Mytilus edulis: one gene and its partner. Each later gene encodes a partner of the first gene's protein in a complex. Links are inferred from orthologs where the notes say so. Each region holds a gene or a part of one and is shown on either strand. Other genes may lie near its edges.

The links.
Region 2: the proteins of probable inactive tRNA-specific adenosine deaminase-like protein 3 (region 1) and tRNA-specific adenosine deaminase 2-like are in contact, whole or in part, in a crystal structure (PDB 9HMM), measured with the Mus musculus proteins. The link is inferred for Mytilus edulis from reciprocal best matches to the Homo sapiens genes ADAT3 and ADAT2. Residues at the interface, in NP_001094076.1 of Mus musculus: Val217, Ala218, Pro220, Leu221, His223, Ile229, Asp230, Ala233, Gln236, Gly237, Glu270, Ser272, Pro274, Val276, Val290, Met291, Met294, Ala295, His298, Ala299, Pro311, Asp312, Leu318, Phe319, Val321, Arg324, Asp326, Leu327, Asn328, Pro349; in NP_080024.3 of Mus musculus: Val62, Asn63, Lys66, Asn67, Ala68, Thr69, His71, Met74, Ile77, Leu81, His85, Pro91, Cys107, Ile108, Met109, Ala112, Ala113, Leu116, Met117, Arg130, Phe131, Val137, Leu138, Ile140, Asp144, Leu145, Pro146, Asn147, Thr148.

What each region holds. Positions count from the first base shown.
Region 1 is NC_092346.1:29,879,984-29,887,942, forward strand, and holds the start of probable inactive tRNA-specific adenosine deaminase-like protein 3, read right to left. Parts: upstream 3,226-7,959; 5' UTR 3,172-3,225; exon of another isoform or gene 3,112-3,171; intron 1,309-3,111; coding exon of another isoform or gene 1,244-1,308; exon of another isoform or gene 1,229-1,243; intron 614-1,228; 5' UTR 522-613; coding exon 386-521; intron 173-385; coding exon 118-172; intron 1-117. Other genes in the region: kelch-like protein 21, read left to right, coding at 1,244-1,308, 5,878-6,025, 6,904-6,988.
Region 2 is NC_092349.1:85,697,256-85,705,243, forward strand, and holds the start of tRNA-specific adenosine deaminase 2-like, read left to right. Parts: upstream 1-4,736; 5' UTR 4,737-4,778; intron 4,779-5,103; 5' UTR 5,104-5,190; intron 5,191-5,256; exon of another isoform or gene 5,257-5,389; intron 5,390-7,988. Other genes in the region: uncharacterized protein, read right to left, coding at 376-496, 2,238-2,428, 2,866-3,058, 4,565-4,579. UniProt on the Homo sapiens protein: Probably participates in deamination of adenosine-34 to inosine in many tRNAs.

The DNA of each region.
Region 1 (7,959 bases):
TCCATGGCAACAGATATATGTGATGTCTTCCATCATTCAATAAAACTGACACTTTTCACCTGAAATCATATCTTTAATCCTAATGTTCTACTTAATTTTTGGTTAAGTGCAACTTACTTCACTATTTCTGAGGTCTTCTTTTTGTCTTTTATTGTACACACAAATATGTCAACTGCAAAATTAATAAAGTTTCTTGGTGTCATATACAACTGTTTTTACATATATATATTTGTGTTGCACTTTTAAATCAGATGTTGTTTTTCTTTAAATAAAAAGTTATTTTTCCTAGAATATATATATACAAAAGAAAATCAAATCAAAATTATAAATTCTTTCCAAGGATGTTATCCATGAAAGAACAAAATGAGAATTTATTCATACTGACCTAACTCAAGTGAACGATAATAAACATCATCTAAAACTGCTTCAGGTTGTTTCATTAAAGTTGGTTCTCCAGTGAACTGTTTCTTTGAGCAGCTGGAACTTATATCATAATCATAGCAATTGCTCACTTCTTCCATGTTCTTGATCCAAAGTTCATCCCGTTAAGCCTTGACCTTTCATCTTAATCTACATCAGGATAGCGCACCTACTTTTGGTACTGAGTGCAGATCTAATAAAGAAAAGGTATAAGTATTACAGATTCTATTGAATAATAAAACATATTTCAATTTTGGTTAAATAATTCCCTTTGTCAAAAATATTAAGTTCTGTGCTTCTCCTTAAAACTTGAAAAGGTAATTACCTATTTGCATGACCTTGACTTTGAAGCCTATGACCTCAAAATCAGTATTACAGATTATATTTAATGATGAGAGATATTTGAAATTTGGTTAAATAATTCCCCTTGATTAATATGTTGAGTTCTGCACTTCTAAACAATTTTAAAAGATAATTACTTATTTTTATGACCTTGACTTTGAAGCTTATGACCTCAATTTTGTTTTGTTTTGTCAATTAGAGAACCAGACAATTTAAGACTACTGGTAACTCACACCTTACTTGTTTCTTTATTGTTATTAACAAAAGAATATACATGATAACAATTAGTGATTACATAATCAATGGATTAACATGATTACCAACTTAAGGATTATCACAGTTTTACCTGTTACTAGCTTTTATACATGTAATATCACTTAAAAAAACTAAATTCTGCACTTCCTACTTTAGATATGTTTCATTTATATTTCTTTGGTGTATAGAACAATATTTTTTTAGGGCAAGACCTTCAAATTCAGAAATGCTGGTTCATGGACTGGGGCACTGGGGTCCTGGAGACCCTTATAGTCATCTACAATATCATGAGTATGTATATATCTATAAATATATAAAAGTTGGTCTTCACCTATCAGACAGTTCTTCAAGAATTTATTATATATAATTCTAGCAATTCATTAATTTTAGATATTCATTGTGATGTGGAGAAAATTTTTAAAAGGTTCTTTTTATATTTATAGATTTTTTTTTGTATATACATACATTATGTAATTATGTCAGGAATGTTATTTTTAAATAATCAATGTGTCCTGAAACTATTACACTAATATATTAGTCTTACTAGGTGGAAAACTAAATATTCTTCTGAACTAGTTTTGAAACCAAGCATTTATTTCTCATCAGATTTTTGAAATGCATTTTGTGTGTTGGTCACTGATGATATCTGCGGACAGGTCCCAGGCCAAACCATAAATACTGGATATGGGGTTATTTCTCTTGACTCATAATTTTTTAGGGCCTAGTATATATATTCTATAATCTTTTAACCCTCTATTAAGACCCTTTGCCTTCATGGCCATTTAAAGTGCTCTTTTACTATCACTGGTTTTTTCACAAAAGATGAGATGCAATAATTGGAAAATAATCCGGTTATGGAGAACACACACAATTGATTATGATAATATTACATTGTACATGTACTTTTTTTGAATTTTTCAAAATTTAACAAATGTACATCTATACTGAATTAAATTCATGAATATTATGGATTTTTACCCCAACCCATGCATTAGGGTTGTAAATCCTAAAATGTACTTTCTCTGTTAGATGATAAAAATAATCTACTGATTTTGACGAAATAAATGGTAAAGATAATTATTTGAGACCACTGACCAGCTGATGAATCAGGATAAAGATATTTTAACTAATCCAGGTAAAATTTTAAACCAATTTGACATTAAAGGTAGCCGAAAATTACTGTTTGACGACTGACAGTTAAGAGCATTCCTTCCCTCTTACATGAACCTTTACTCTGCTGGCTAATGGTAAAAATTTAAAGTAAATTATATACAAAATATTTCGTGGGGCGCAGCTAGATTTGACAACAGAAGCCCAACCCTTAACTTTTTTTAATTTCAAGTTGCATATGACTTTAACCAAAAATATATTTCCATTTATTATTAAAAAATAGAAGGTAATTTAATCTTAAAAGTCATAATCATTATATTATATACTTATTCTGTATTCTGTATTCTGTAGGTGTCGCTGTTGACACTGGATTGTCTCCCTTGTAATTATTTAAATCTCTCGTGTATTTATATTTCACTCTGGTAAACAACTCACTTGTACTTTAAAATACATACTATTAGGTGGCAACTGTGCTTAACATATTTTTCCAAAAATTAAAAAATATATCTACATTTATTAATTAACATGAAAATTTAACGGAAAAGAAAGAAAAAAAAAAAAAATAAAGAAAAAAAAAATCAAAAAAAATCTAACATTACATTAATCAAACCGGCGCGACTCGCAAATAAAGTCACCCAACAATCGCATTAGTGTTTCATTAGAGACGGAGACATTGTCGTTTTTTTCTATTGACAATAAAAGTTCCAAATCAATATGTAACGATCCTGTGTTGAAGTATATCTCATGTATAAGTTTCTGTCTTGCCTCTTCATAATTTTCACAAAATAGTAAATAATGTTCCACAGTTTCTAATTGACCGCATTCACACTTTGGGTCTATATTTTGATTGATTTTGTTTTGATAATTTTTTAATATATACTTAGCATTAGCCAATATATGGCATAGGGTTTCTTTTTTAAAGAATGGAATATATCTGTCAACTCATGAAATGAAAAAGAATGTCCTTTGAAAGGTTTAACTAACTCTCTAACAGTGAGTATTCCTATACGATTTATAGCTTAGCCTTATGTAAGTTATGGAGACCTGATCAATATGAACTGCTTTAGTCTGTATATTGTAATTCTTAAACGGAAATGATTTCGGTTAGGGTTTGTCTTTTAGAAATTTGGGAGGAAAAAATATTAAACAACGTTCTATTGGCTGAAATTTTAGATTTAACCAATCAAATATTCTGTATTATGCCAATGTAATTGAGATGTGAGACGGGAGAGCTCGATGAGCTGAAGAATAATTTCGCAAATCACACTGTGATTAAACCACTGTAATTATCAAATTATTTATTTATTTGTACTGCCCTTAATTGCGTAAAGTATAGACTCGGAATGAAGCACTTCAATTGTTGATCAAGCCCTGTCAATGGCCTTGGACAGATCTCTTCTAAAGTTCTATTTCTGATCTCGAAATATTGAACAAACACAGACACTCTTCACTTAATGACTTATGTCACTAGTCATGCTAGTGAAGATGTTAACGAATACATACCTATATACCTTTACCAAGGATTTTTATGGTCTACAAATTATTGCCTTCACCTACTGACCTACATGTAGCCCACAAAATCATAATGTCTAGTCACAGGCACTAGACGTTCTGTCAATAGCAAGTCAAGCTAATTTGCAATTCAATTTTTTTTTTGCTTAGTTGCAGGAAGGTGTCAAAGCGAAAAAATAAAGTAGCAAGACAACATCAATGTGGGATAAAAACAGTCACAATAATAAAAAAAAAAAAAAACACGGCATGATATCGCTATTTGTCCGCCATTACTGGATATCACACAGGTTCCCGTATAATTTTGACGTCATAAAACAAAATATCTGAAGCCACAATGGAAAAGTGATTGTTGTTGACCTCAAAAGTTCAAGAGGCCGGGTCTGCCGGGATTAGCGATAAGGTGTATTATCTGGACTACTGTGACAAATGTAGGAAAATGTTTAGCAAAAATAAAAAATGAGCCTCTGTGGTTTTCCCTGAGGCTATTTTCATATTTTCAACGGCCCTGCTACATTTCCCATTGTGTGAAAAAAAATATTAGCTGTGCATATTAATTATTGAAGTTCATAATAACTTGACATAATGCTGGCGAAAGTGTAAAGCAAAATAATGTCCTATGAAATATTGTCCAACAAGACAATATATCATGACTATGTACTATGAAATTCTGTCCTCATCTATAAAATTATGTCTTGAGACGGACAAATTTTCATAGTGGAATTTGGTCTTGTTTGATTACAATAATTCACAGATGAATAGTATGAAATTTTGTCCTGCTAAAGGGAAGTAATCATTTGTTTATATTAAGACAATATTTCATAGACTGATTGTTATGAAATTTTGTCTTATGAAGGGGAGGTTATCATCATATATCATGATGGTTAAAAATATCATTAAAGTGTTTTCTTCAATTGACAATAACAAAAAAGAAAATAATAATAAATAGATACAGGTATAAACATGATAAATAGAAAACTAGTTTTGTAATCATGGATGGCAAGGAGTATAAAATACTTTTTGAGTTTCTCAGTCTAAAAGTTTCACTGGAAGGAATTTCAGAAAATCAGAAGAGAGTAATTAGAAGAAAGTCTAATTACTTTTGTATACAGAACAATGAAATTTATTTCAAAAGTGTTGATAAGAAATCAAATGAAGTTATGAAAAGACTTGTGATTCATAAAGACAAATTATAAAGAGTGATGTATCTATATAAATATATATATTAATAACCAAATTACAAAATATTTTGTTATTATTATTCAAAAATCTGCATGCTGCATGTTTGTGTAATATAACTTGTATTAATTTGAACAAGAATTTTTATTATGGACAGTATTCTATAGGGAAAATTAATATTATGCTGTTGACAAAATTTAATATAAAATATTGTTAGCAGACACGTTTTCATAATGATATATTGTCATCAGAGACATGTATGTGTATATATGTCTCTGTTGTCATTGACAGTATTTTATAGTGAAATATTGTCTTTAAGGCGGTGACAAAATTTCATGGACAAGCACAATATTTCATAATGAAATAGTGTCCTTGACAATATTTCATTATGAAATGGTGTCTTAAGACAATATTTCATGGAGGATAATATTTTATGTTACAAAAGCATGTGATGTGTTCTGAAACGTGACTAACTGGTAATTGTTAATACAATGAAATCGGCTGTTATTGTTTGAATGATAAAATTAGACAGAAGTCAAATCCATTCTGATGCACATCTCCTACATAACTTTCGAAAATCATTCCATTTGAATAATTTCAGTATGAAACTGCGCCAACTCAACACTGGAGATACATTGACATATGACATTGAGATTTAGGTTGATATTAAATATAAAAAAAAATCCCCTGATATTTCAAATATTTCAAAGCAAATATTGTGCTCCATCAGAAACAGTTGAAAAAACAATTAAAATCACAAATTTTGTCATGCTAATCAAAGATATCAATATTTTTTTCAGATTAGCCCATACGTTATGCTATTTTTGTGTTTTTATCAGACACTGTTTATTGATTATGTAAAAGAAAAGTATTACATCACTGATGCAAAGTTGAAATGAGTTATGGAAATTTATGCAATGGACTTTTGCATTGTAATTTTAGTGAAATTTCAGTTACTTGTTATTTGGAAGTGTAATTTGATAGTTTGTAGACCTACAGGAATTGGTTCTGAGTGCTGAATCTTATTATGTGATAGATTAAATTCATTTTTTCTGTTAACAGGTCTACAGCCAGCAAAATGGATTTTCAAGCATACCCCAGAAATATGGGGAATAAAAGTTCCCATGCATTGAAGTTGCAACAACATTTATATGATCAGATGTCATCTCAAACTGAATTCTGTGATGTCACCCTGATGGTTGGAGATATTGTAAGTACATGTAATATATTTAAAAGTTGAAACAAAGTCATCCAAGTAAGGGAGCTACCATTTGATTTTTACGGGGGGCTAAGATGAAATTTGAAAAAAATAGGCAGGACAGGAGTTTTGAGTTAAAAAAAAAGGCAGGATGAGACACTTGCAAAAAAAAAGTCAGGACGACAATTTAGGTAAAATAAAGTCGGGATAAACTAAAGAAAAAAAGGCAGGACCGAACAGAGTGAAAAATAAAAAGGCAGGACAGAGATTACAGCTTAAATAAAAATGTAGGACAAAATTTTTCATCCTAGCCCCCCCCATAAAAATCAAATGGTAGCTCCCTAATAATGTTATTACCCTGAAGTAAGTTCTGGTCCACGAATGTGGACGTGGGTTGAATCCAAAATCTGACACCATGTATCTTTATTCCTACGATATGAGGGCAATAAGAATTAAACACTAGTTTAGAGGGGGGATAGGACCTTTATTGGGACACCGGGATTGGGTGTTTTCATGATTTTCGGGATTGACCTTTTCGTGATGTCAGGATTTATTTTTTTATAATTCAGGACCTCAGGATTTCATGTTTTTAATCCCGGGATTTCGAGATCAAGACCCCTCCTACCCTCCCTCAGTTTAGGCACACAAGTATAATTGTAAACAGTGACATCATCTAAAGTGTACACATCATCAGTGCTTATCTATCGGGCGCATCATAAACATTTAAATATATATCGTTACAAAAGCCTTTCTTATTCATACCATAATTACTTGAACTAGCCATTTAAGTCTTTTATCAAATTAATTTTAAGAGAAAATGCTTGTGAATGTTTTCAAGTAGGTGATGTTTACATATTTGGATTTTTAATTATTAATGATTTTATTTTAAGGAAGTAAAGGCTCACTGGAATGTACTGGTATCATGTCCTTACTTTCAGTCCTTATATGATAGTGGGATGGATGAAAAAGTATCAGGTAAGGAAATTGTCTATATACAAACAGTTAAAACAGGAATAAGCAAAAACATAAATTCCTGTATGTTTAAAGAAATCGACTAACATCCTTTTAACTGCACAAAAAAAAATCAAATTTACAGTATTTTCAGCAGAGTTGTCACAAAATTGAACTCTGCTAACAAATTTGAAATTGTGTTGACAAACAAATTAAATAAATTCTCAACAAGTTAAACATGACTTCTTGTACATGCTTGAAATCTGTTGTTTGAAGATATAATTTAACACACTTTAGATGCACAAAACGAGCAAGGTTATGGTTTTAGCAGAGCTTTTACAAAGTTGAAATATGTTTATGATATGATGAATGTCTCTCTGGAATCTAAAAAAACCCTAATTTATAAGTTGTTATTTTCACAATTTCAATATGTAAACATGTAAATGGGAAGCTGACTTTTGTTGATTTATTATTCATGAATATATCTTGACATCTAAAACATGTTAATGTTTTATGACAATCTTCAACATTGTAAATTAGGACCTCAGGCCACAATTAAAAATATTTTGGTTCGCCCAAACCCTACCCAAAGGTTGAGACAGTGGGTAGGTACATGTAGGTAGGCATTTTCTTTTTTTTTTCTAAAAGAGAAATTGAAGTATCGATGTTTATTAGTCTTCATGCCTATCTGATTAAAAAAAACCTTCTTCAAATCAGGACAATAAAAGAATTTGAGTAGGCAGCTTTTTTCTGGGTAGGTAGGGTTTGGGCAAACAAACCTATTCTTTTTTATGGCCTCACAGAGTATTATAAAAGGCAATAGACAGAAGATAACATAGGGATTCTAAATTCATTTTTTGAATTGACTAAGGCCAAATAAAAATATATGTGTGGTTCCAGTTACCCTACCGTCCCTACTTTTTCGGCTTAAAAATAGCCTACCCTAAAGATTTTATTGTCATTTTTCATTAAGTACTGCTAAAGTCAGAATGTTG
Region 2 (7,988 bases), on another chromosome or scaffold:
TACTTATATACGTTTTTTTTTCTCCAGAGGTGTCAATTCATACTAATTTTACTAATTTAAACAATTTTTCTCTCCAACCAACTAGTAATTTTTCTAAAGAAAGGAGATGGTTAACTATTTAAAAATATTTTCTTATATATATATATAAACCGTATATAAACTACCCGGGGTATAGCGAAAAATATTACGTGTTAGTGTTGCCCCATACTGTTAGAAAACTTCTTTCAATGTATATACTGTCAATCAGGGGTACTACTTGTATAAGTAATTTTTACTCCTGACTCACTGTGTTTTTCTAAAAAAACCCACAAAACAGAGAGGATTCATATAGATAAAACCATAGCTGTTGACACGTGTTACATGGTTGTTACTGACCTAGTTCATGTCCAACCGATGTAGACATGACAGCTTCTGTAAGGGCTGGATGGATAGAAAGACCGGTACTATCAACAACTGTAGAGGTCATCTCATCTTCATATTTAGGAGGATACACTTCCTGAAAACATAAAATCAAACAATAGAAAATGTTAAATATCTTTTTGTAATCATTCACTTAACACTGCTAAAAAGTATTCAATACTACAAAAAAATTTAAACAAGATACATCATTTACAAAAATTTTGATATACTTTAGCTAAAGGTATTTCTACTATAAAGAAGTATGTTTCTTTAAGGTGTCTCATGTGGAATAGGTTTTGAAAACCCTGATGGAGCACCTGAGATCACCTTAAGTTTTGGTTTGGTTCATGTTGCTAAATCTTCAGTTTTCTACATGTTGTATGTAGAGTTTTGTGGACTTTCATTTTTTGCAATGACTTAGTCATTTTCTCTTTAGTAGTTTTTTTTTTAGTTTTGAATGTACCCTTGGTATTGTTTAAAATTGAGAATGGAAATGGGGAATGTGCCAGAGACAACAACCCGACCATAGAAAAAAACAACAGCAGAAGGTCACCAACAGGTCTTCAATGTAGCGAGAAATTCCCGCACCTGGAGGCGTCCTTCAACTTGCCCCTAAACAAATATATACTAGTTCAGTGATAATGAACGCCATACTAATTTCCAAATTGTATACAAGAAACTAAAATTAAAATAATACAAGACTAACAAAGGCCAGAGGCTCCTGACTTGGGACAGGCGCAAAAATGTGGCGGGCTTAAACATGTTTGTGAGATCTCAACCCTCCCCCTATACCTCTAGCCAATGTAGAATTTTGCTTATTTTTTTTTTAGTTATTATCATGATCAACATAAGGGCTGTTCCAAAAATAAATGTATGGGGGAAGGAAGGCACTTTTTATTTGACTCCACTATGCATACATTTTAAATTGGATATTTAATTAAATGTTCAAGCAATCTTTCTTAAATAACCACCACCAATCAAATTTTAATAAAAGTGCCTTCCTTACCCCCATACAATTAATTCTTGAAAAACCCTTAATACTTTAAGCATAAAAGATATGTCTACATATTAAAATAAGAAATGTCTTCTTTTTTTATTTTACTTTGTAACCTTCTGTTTTATTTTCCCCAGAATTTGTGCAAACTCTCATTTTAATATTTTCCCCAGAATTTGTGCAAACTCTCATTTTAATATTTTCCCCAGAATTTGTGCAAACTCTCATTTCTTTATTTAAATTTTGTTTTAACATACACATTTCCCATTGATCTTTTCATAAATCACATTCTTGAATTTCGAAAAAAATTACCATTTCTTTCTTTTATTAATTTTCATAAATATTCTTAAATATTTGCAAGTTATAAATCTGAGTCCTATGCACTTTAATCTAATTATATTTCACATATTTACCTGAGCAATTTATAAGTTATAAATCTGAGTCCTATGCACTTTAATCTAATTATATTTCACATATTTACCTGAGCAATTTATAAGTTATAAATCTGAGTCCTGTGCACTTTACTCTAATTATATTTCACATATTTACCTGAGCAATCTGAGTCCTGTGCACTTTACTCTAATTATATTTCACATATTTACCTGAGCAATTTATAAGTTATAAATCTGAGTCCTGTGCACTTTACTCTAATTATATTTCACATATTTACCTGAGCAATCTGAGTCCTGTGCACTTTACTCTAATTATATTTCACATATTTACCTGAGCAATCTGAGTCCTGTGCACTTTACTCTAATTATATTTCACATATTTACCTGAGCAATTTATAAGTTATAAATCTGAGTCCTGTGCACTTTACTCTAATTATATTTCACATATTTACCTGAGCAATTTGAATCTGAAAAGTGGTTTGTGGATTTCTGAAGTGGGTTTTGTAATGTTTAATAGCTTCATCTCTCCTGTTGAATCCATTACGACATTTATAACAATGCCAATGTGCTCCTTTAAATTTTTTCTCTCCTTTTATTATACCAACTATGTCACAATGATCACAGCATCGTAGAATTTTCAAACCTGGAATTATAAAATAGAAATTGTCAATACAGATTTGATGTTCAAAGTTTAACTGATATTAAAACAAATATACATGTCTGCATGTATTGTACAGTTTCTATTACATACATACAGTCTTTAGAATTCTTATTTTTTCCCCCTCTTAGACTCAGTTTTGTGTGGAGCTTTTTTTTTCAACTTGAACTTTTGAGTTACAGATCAGAGTGAAATATTTAAGCCGTATGAAATGTAATTATGTTATTTACATGTTAAAAGTGTTTGTAAATTTGAAAATTCAGTAATGCAAATATTTTATTCACATAATTTATTTTGCACAAAAAGTTTATTAACCCTTGTACAGGTTTCCAATGGTTAAGGTATGTGAATCCAGGGAAAATATTTTATGGTGTTTTTTTTTTATAGTATCTATACAGTACAATCATGACAATTATATTTACCAGCAAAATCAATTCCTTTATCTACATGTTTAACTCTATAATGAGCCTTGAGTATGACTGGGTCATGATACAGTTCTGTCTTCACACAGAATGGGCAATGCATGTGTAATGTACCATCACCACACCTTTGATCTGCACATCTCAAAGGAGTCAAATTATTTTCTGTACCTTTAATCCGAACACTTGGATGAGTCTGAAATATAAAACAAATCACAACTCATTTATATATTATAGATTTTTACAACTTTATTGATATCACTATTATTTCATCCTTACTTTTGAATATTTACAAAAATGTATATATCTAGAAAAATTTTACGCAAAAATTTCTAGCTGTCAATTACATGGTAAAATTGTGTCTCTCTCAAAGGCAACAAGATGATGAAAATGGCTACAGCGATATGATATTGTAAAAATTGTTGCAGAACTTTTGTTTAGAGATAACAAATTTAAAACACATGTAGCCTTTTCAAGAAGTCATAATTATTTGGACTGGGTGATATTTTGTTTCTGACTACATAGTGTCTAGCCTAGTATCCTGGCTCACTGCTTGACAGCAGAGCCAGGCGGAATAAAAAGACATAGTTTTGTCAATTGGATGTAAGAAAGATGCAAATGAGATAGCGTCAATACTTGCCACTGCGGGAAATATTTGTACTGCCACAAATTTGTTTAAAATTATTTTTATTTCATAAGAAATGTATGATGCAGTCCCGCATATCCACACACCTAAGACTTATGACTTCACTTCATTCAACTAATATAACCAATAATTGGATAATATTGTGTTAACACATTCATAACATACTTTTATTTCATAAAATCTTCTGTTTGTATGCTTTCACTCTCAAGATTTTGTGTAATGTGTTTCTAAAATTAGGGAAACTCCTGTTCTAAGAGTTTCTCCAATTTCCGGTGATTTCGCGCATGTCTTCCAAAAATGGCTTATTTTGAATAATGGAAAGATTTTTTTCTACGAAACAAAGCTGAATTTGAACCAAGTACACTGCCAAGGATGCAGAGCAAAAAGTATTTCAATCTGATTTAAATATGACTCAAATAGAAGTTTTATCTGATGATGTATTTTTTTTAATGGAAATTGGCCAAATATTGAAAATCACAGGATTTCAGTTATTATTCAACTCTTGAACTTATCAATTTTATTCTTATTTACCCCTCGGAAGGCTAAAACAATAACAAGAACGATTTTATTTGTGCTACTGTTGTGATATGACAAAACCAGCTAATGTGCGGTATCAACGGTTGCGCGGACACTGGGGACTCCACTGTACATTTAAAATAATTTAGCAAATCTAACCCAAACGTTGTTGATTAACATTGTCATTCATTGTAAATCACCAGTTAATTAACGATGCGGTTGATTTATTTCTAGAACACACGCTTAAAGAGTGTCCTTCCAAGTAGTTATTTCCCTTTGTCCTTGATGGAAAGATGTGTAAAATTGAAACAAATTGAGAACATTTAATTGAAGTTATTTTTTTCTGGTTAATTGTTGTTATGTCCACCATTAAGCTACATTCTATGAATTGCATATCCAGAAAGTGTTTCCCCCAAATAAGAGATCATGCAAAAATGCATGGCTGGATTTCTGAATAAAATCATAAATTGTTAGCAAAATTCACCATCGATTTACAATTTTGCATGAACTATAAAGGACTTTAACATGTTACTCGCTTACAACATAAGTATTCATTGTCAAAGACAATGCTTCTGTCAGCTAGAAGCAAATTCAGTTTGGAAAACTATGAGATTAGTGTCTCCTTCTTTCTTTCCTTGTGTTCACGTCACCAATATATGTCGACAAGCGCAGAAGGATATGAACGTCACTTCCTGAAATTTCAAAGTCATAATCTAGGACGATATAGTTTCCTTTGCCGGGATCTCACGCTGACGTCTTCAGAAGTTAAAAACTCAGTTCCACACAAAAGAGGAATCCCAAATTATAAACATAAGAAAGGTACCATAACATTTATCAGAACACGAAGGAATATCACAGATAATAATGAGGAGGAGGAAAAAGACTTTGAAGCCTTTTCAGGTTCAGGTCAAATGTTAAGGAAGAAAGAAAGGAAATGAAAGCTTTATTTTTGTATGACTTGGGACTTTTGAACTGGCCATAAGATGTGCAGAGGACATTTATTTATTTTTTTTGTTAGAAAGAACTGTTGAACCTCCTATACAAATTTTCTTTGTCTTGCAATTAACTGTGAATTAACTGTCTTCTATCGGATTTTGGACGCTTCTTCAACATCGTTTCAATACTAGTCAATAGAGTAAGACACAAGAAACAAGCTTTTCTTTTAGGTATTTATAATCTTTGTCAATTTCACAATGTTATCTGACGCAAGGCTCCTTCAAATTTCTACTGCCGAACTGGTTTTACCAGGATATCTCAGATGACCCTAATGATTTAAAAGGCATTATATACACAATCCTGATGGTAAATCTTAGATCCTCTTGTGTACGTACCTGCAAAGAGGACTCACTTAATCTCTTCACTCAGGTATATATATAGTTAATAGTTATGTTTGAAATCATGTAATTTGGTTGCACATCTTGAATACACCCTATCGCTACATGTATTTTGAAATCTGCTCAGGTTGAACCCAGAATTTGTGCCGGTTGAGGCATCATATATTTTGTATTATGATGCAAAATTTTACTGGAACCTTTGTGATGTCCTGCAATAATAGCAGACAAATAGCGATAATGTGTATACATAAGCATTGATAAGATAAGATATCTATACTATTAAACGAGAATAGCTCATTTTGTGTGTCGCTTCTCTTCCTTCCACAATAAATTAATCATCATGCCTCTGTGTCCTAAAGGTACCATGTATTGTCGCATTTGTCATCCATTCTTATGATTATTCAGTTTGGGTTATTTTGGGAGAAAAACGAAAAAAACTGCGTCCGGAAATTTTTCCGTCATTGGACGAAATTTAAGGTATCCGGTCGTTCCGGCCCCAAACCGATCCGGCCCCAAGTCAATCCGGCCCAAAGTCGATCCGGCCCAAGTCGATCCGGCCCACGTCGATCCGGCCCCAAGTCGATCCGGCCCCATAATAAAATAAGAAATAACTATATTGATCTTGGAGGAATTTGTGACACAGTATAAATGGAATTTGCAAAAAGTGTCCAATGATGGATGACAACAGGTATTAAGTGAAGTATTGGAGTACCAGTTAAAGAACTATTTTAAATCGATACGAAAATGATTGTTATTGTGTCGTTGGTTGTATAGCAGCTTCAACATATTTTAAAATATGAAGTTATTTTCCATGATAACTTTAACTCATGGCGATTTCATTTTCTTTTTTTTTCATACACAGAATATCTAAATAAATATTTAGTCCACTGGAACCTATTAAATTTAACTCATCATAATGACTTGATTAATCAAATCATTAGTCTATAATTGGTTTGTTTATTCAACAATTGTCTGATGATTGTGAACTAAGGTGATGCCACTTGTAATCACTTAATTAAATCAAATCCTGATTAATTGATGTTCTGGTTAAGGTTGGTGTATATAATAATTATAAATTGTATTTTTTTCAGGTAACATCACAGGCTTCTATTTACTTGTTGTTTTTTTTTATAATATCAACGAGGTCTTTAAAGATTGATATTTTGTTTGGTGTATATAATAATAACCTATAATGGTTTACTTTTATAAACTGTTATTTGGATGGAGAGTTTTCTCATTGGCAATCACACCACATCTTCCTATATCGATATATTTTTCATAAATTTGACAGTATTTTGAATAGTTGTGTGTAGAAAAAACACAAGTTATATGAGTATCCATTATTCTTTATTGCAAGAAAATAACAAAACAATGACACTGAATGCACGTTTTCACACTCTAAAATAAAATATCAGCACTACTAAAATATAACAATAACATCATACATACTAACTATCTCTGACACTCACATAAATACACATAACCTTTTAATAAATCATTTACACTAACAGTTTTACACTGTCACTTACCTAAAGGAATTGTTTTAATATAATTATACCCAATAATCTTGAAAACTTGTAATAAAAACATAATCAACCTAGTTGTTTTATACTCATCTGAAGAATTTTTTTTTTTTACCGTACACCTTTAACATTGTAATAAAAATCATAAACATTTATGAATTACTTTAATATATATCTTTATTTTTATTCCTTATAAATATATTTTTTTATTGGGGCCGGATCGACTTTACATTTGGGCCGGATCGACGTGGGGCCGGATCGACGTGGGACGGATCGACTTGGGCCGGATCGACGTGGGGCCGGATCGACGCGAAAGCAAATTTAAAGTCAGACTAGACATCTGGTTTTTGTTTTTTCTGTACTTTGTACATACCAAGGATTATGAATAACGTTGATTTGCTATCTGCTATCATTTTCAAGTTTACTATCCACGACAGTAACTGGGTTTATTAAATAGAGAGGGTCTATATATTATGTCAATGACTGCTGTGGATCGATTAGTAAATTGAGAGTTGATATAGTAAAAAGCAAATACACTTTATTTATAGTAATGTATGTTCATAATATACACATAAACGCTAACATTATTTAAATCAATTAAAAAAAATTATAAGAGTTTTGGAGGAAAAAAATTAGGAGTCGGGCTAAAAAAACAATTGTCCTGTCCCAAAGTACTTATAACTTTTATTATCTTTCCTGAAATTCTCCAGTCATTATTTTTTTTACTAACATTCATCCTACAAAACTTTACATACTTTCAACCATGTTCTGGATGCCCGCGATTTCGCGGGTGTGTTCTAGCATTTATCATCCTTGTTTAAAGTATTTCAGTTTTGGTTATTTTTGGAGGAAAACGAAAATATAGGCGTCCATATATTTAACTGGGGTGACTTTTAATATATTAGTGACCGATTTATATAGTACTTAGGGTATATATATATATATATATATATATGTTTGTTCATAGTATACAGAAAAACAGAGAGAATAAAAATCAGTATTTGGAAAAAATAGGGAAGGCAAAAAAAAATGTGCCCAGTCCCCAAGTTCCTTCGAATTTTGATACCTCTCCTGGAATTCTCCAGTTATAATTTATTTTACAGTTTA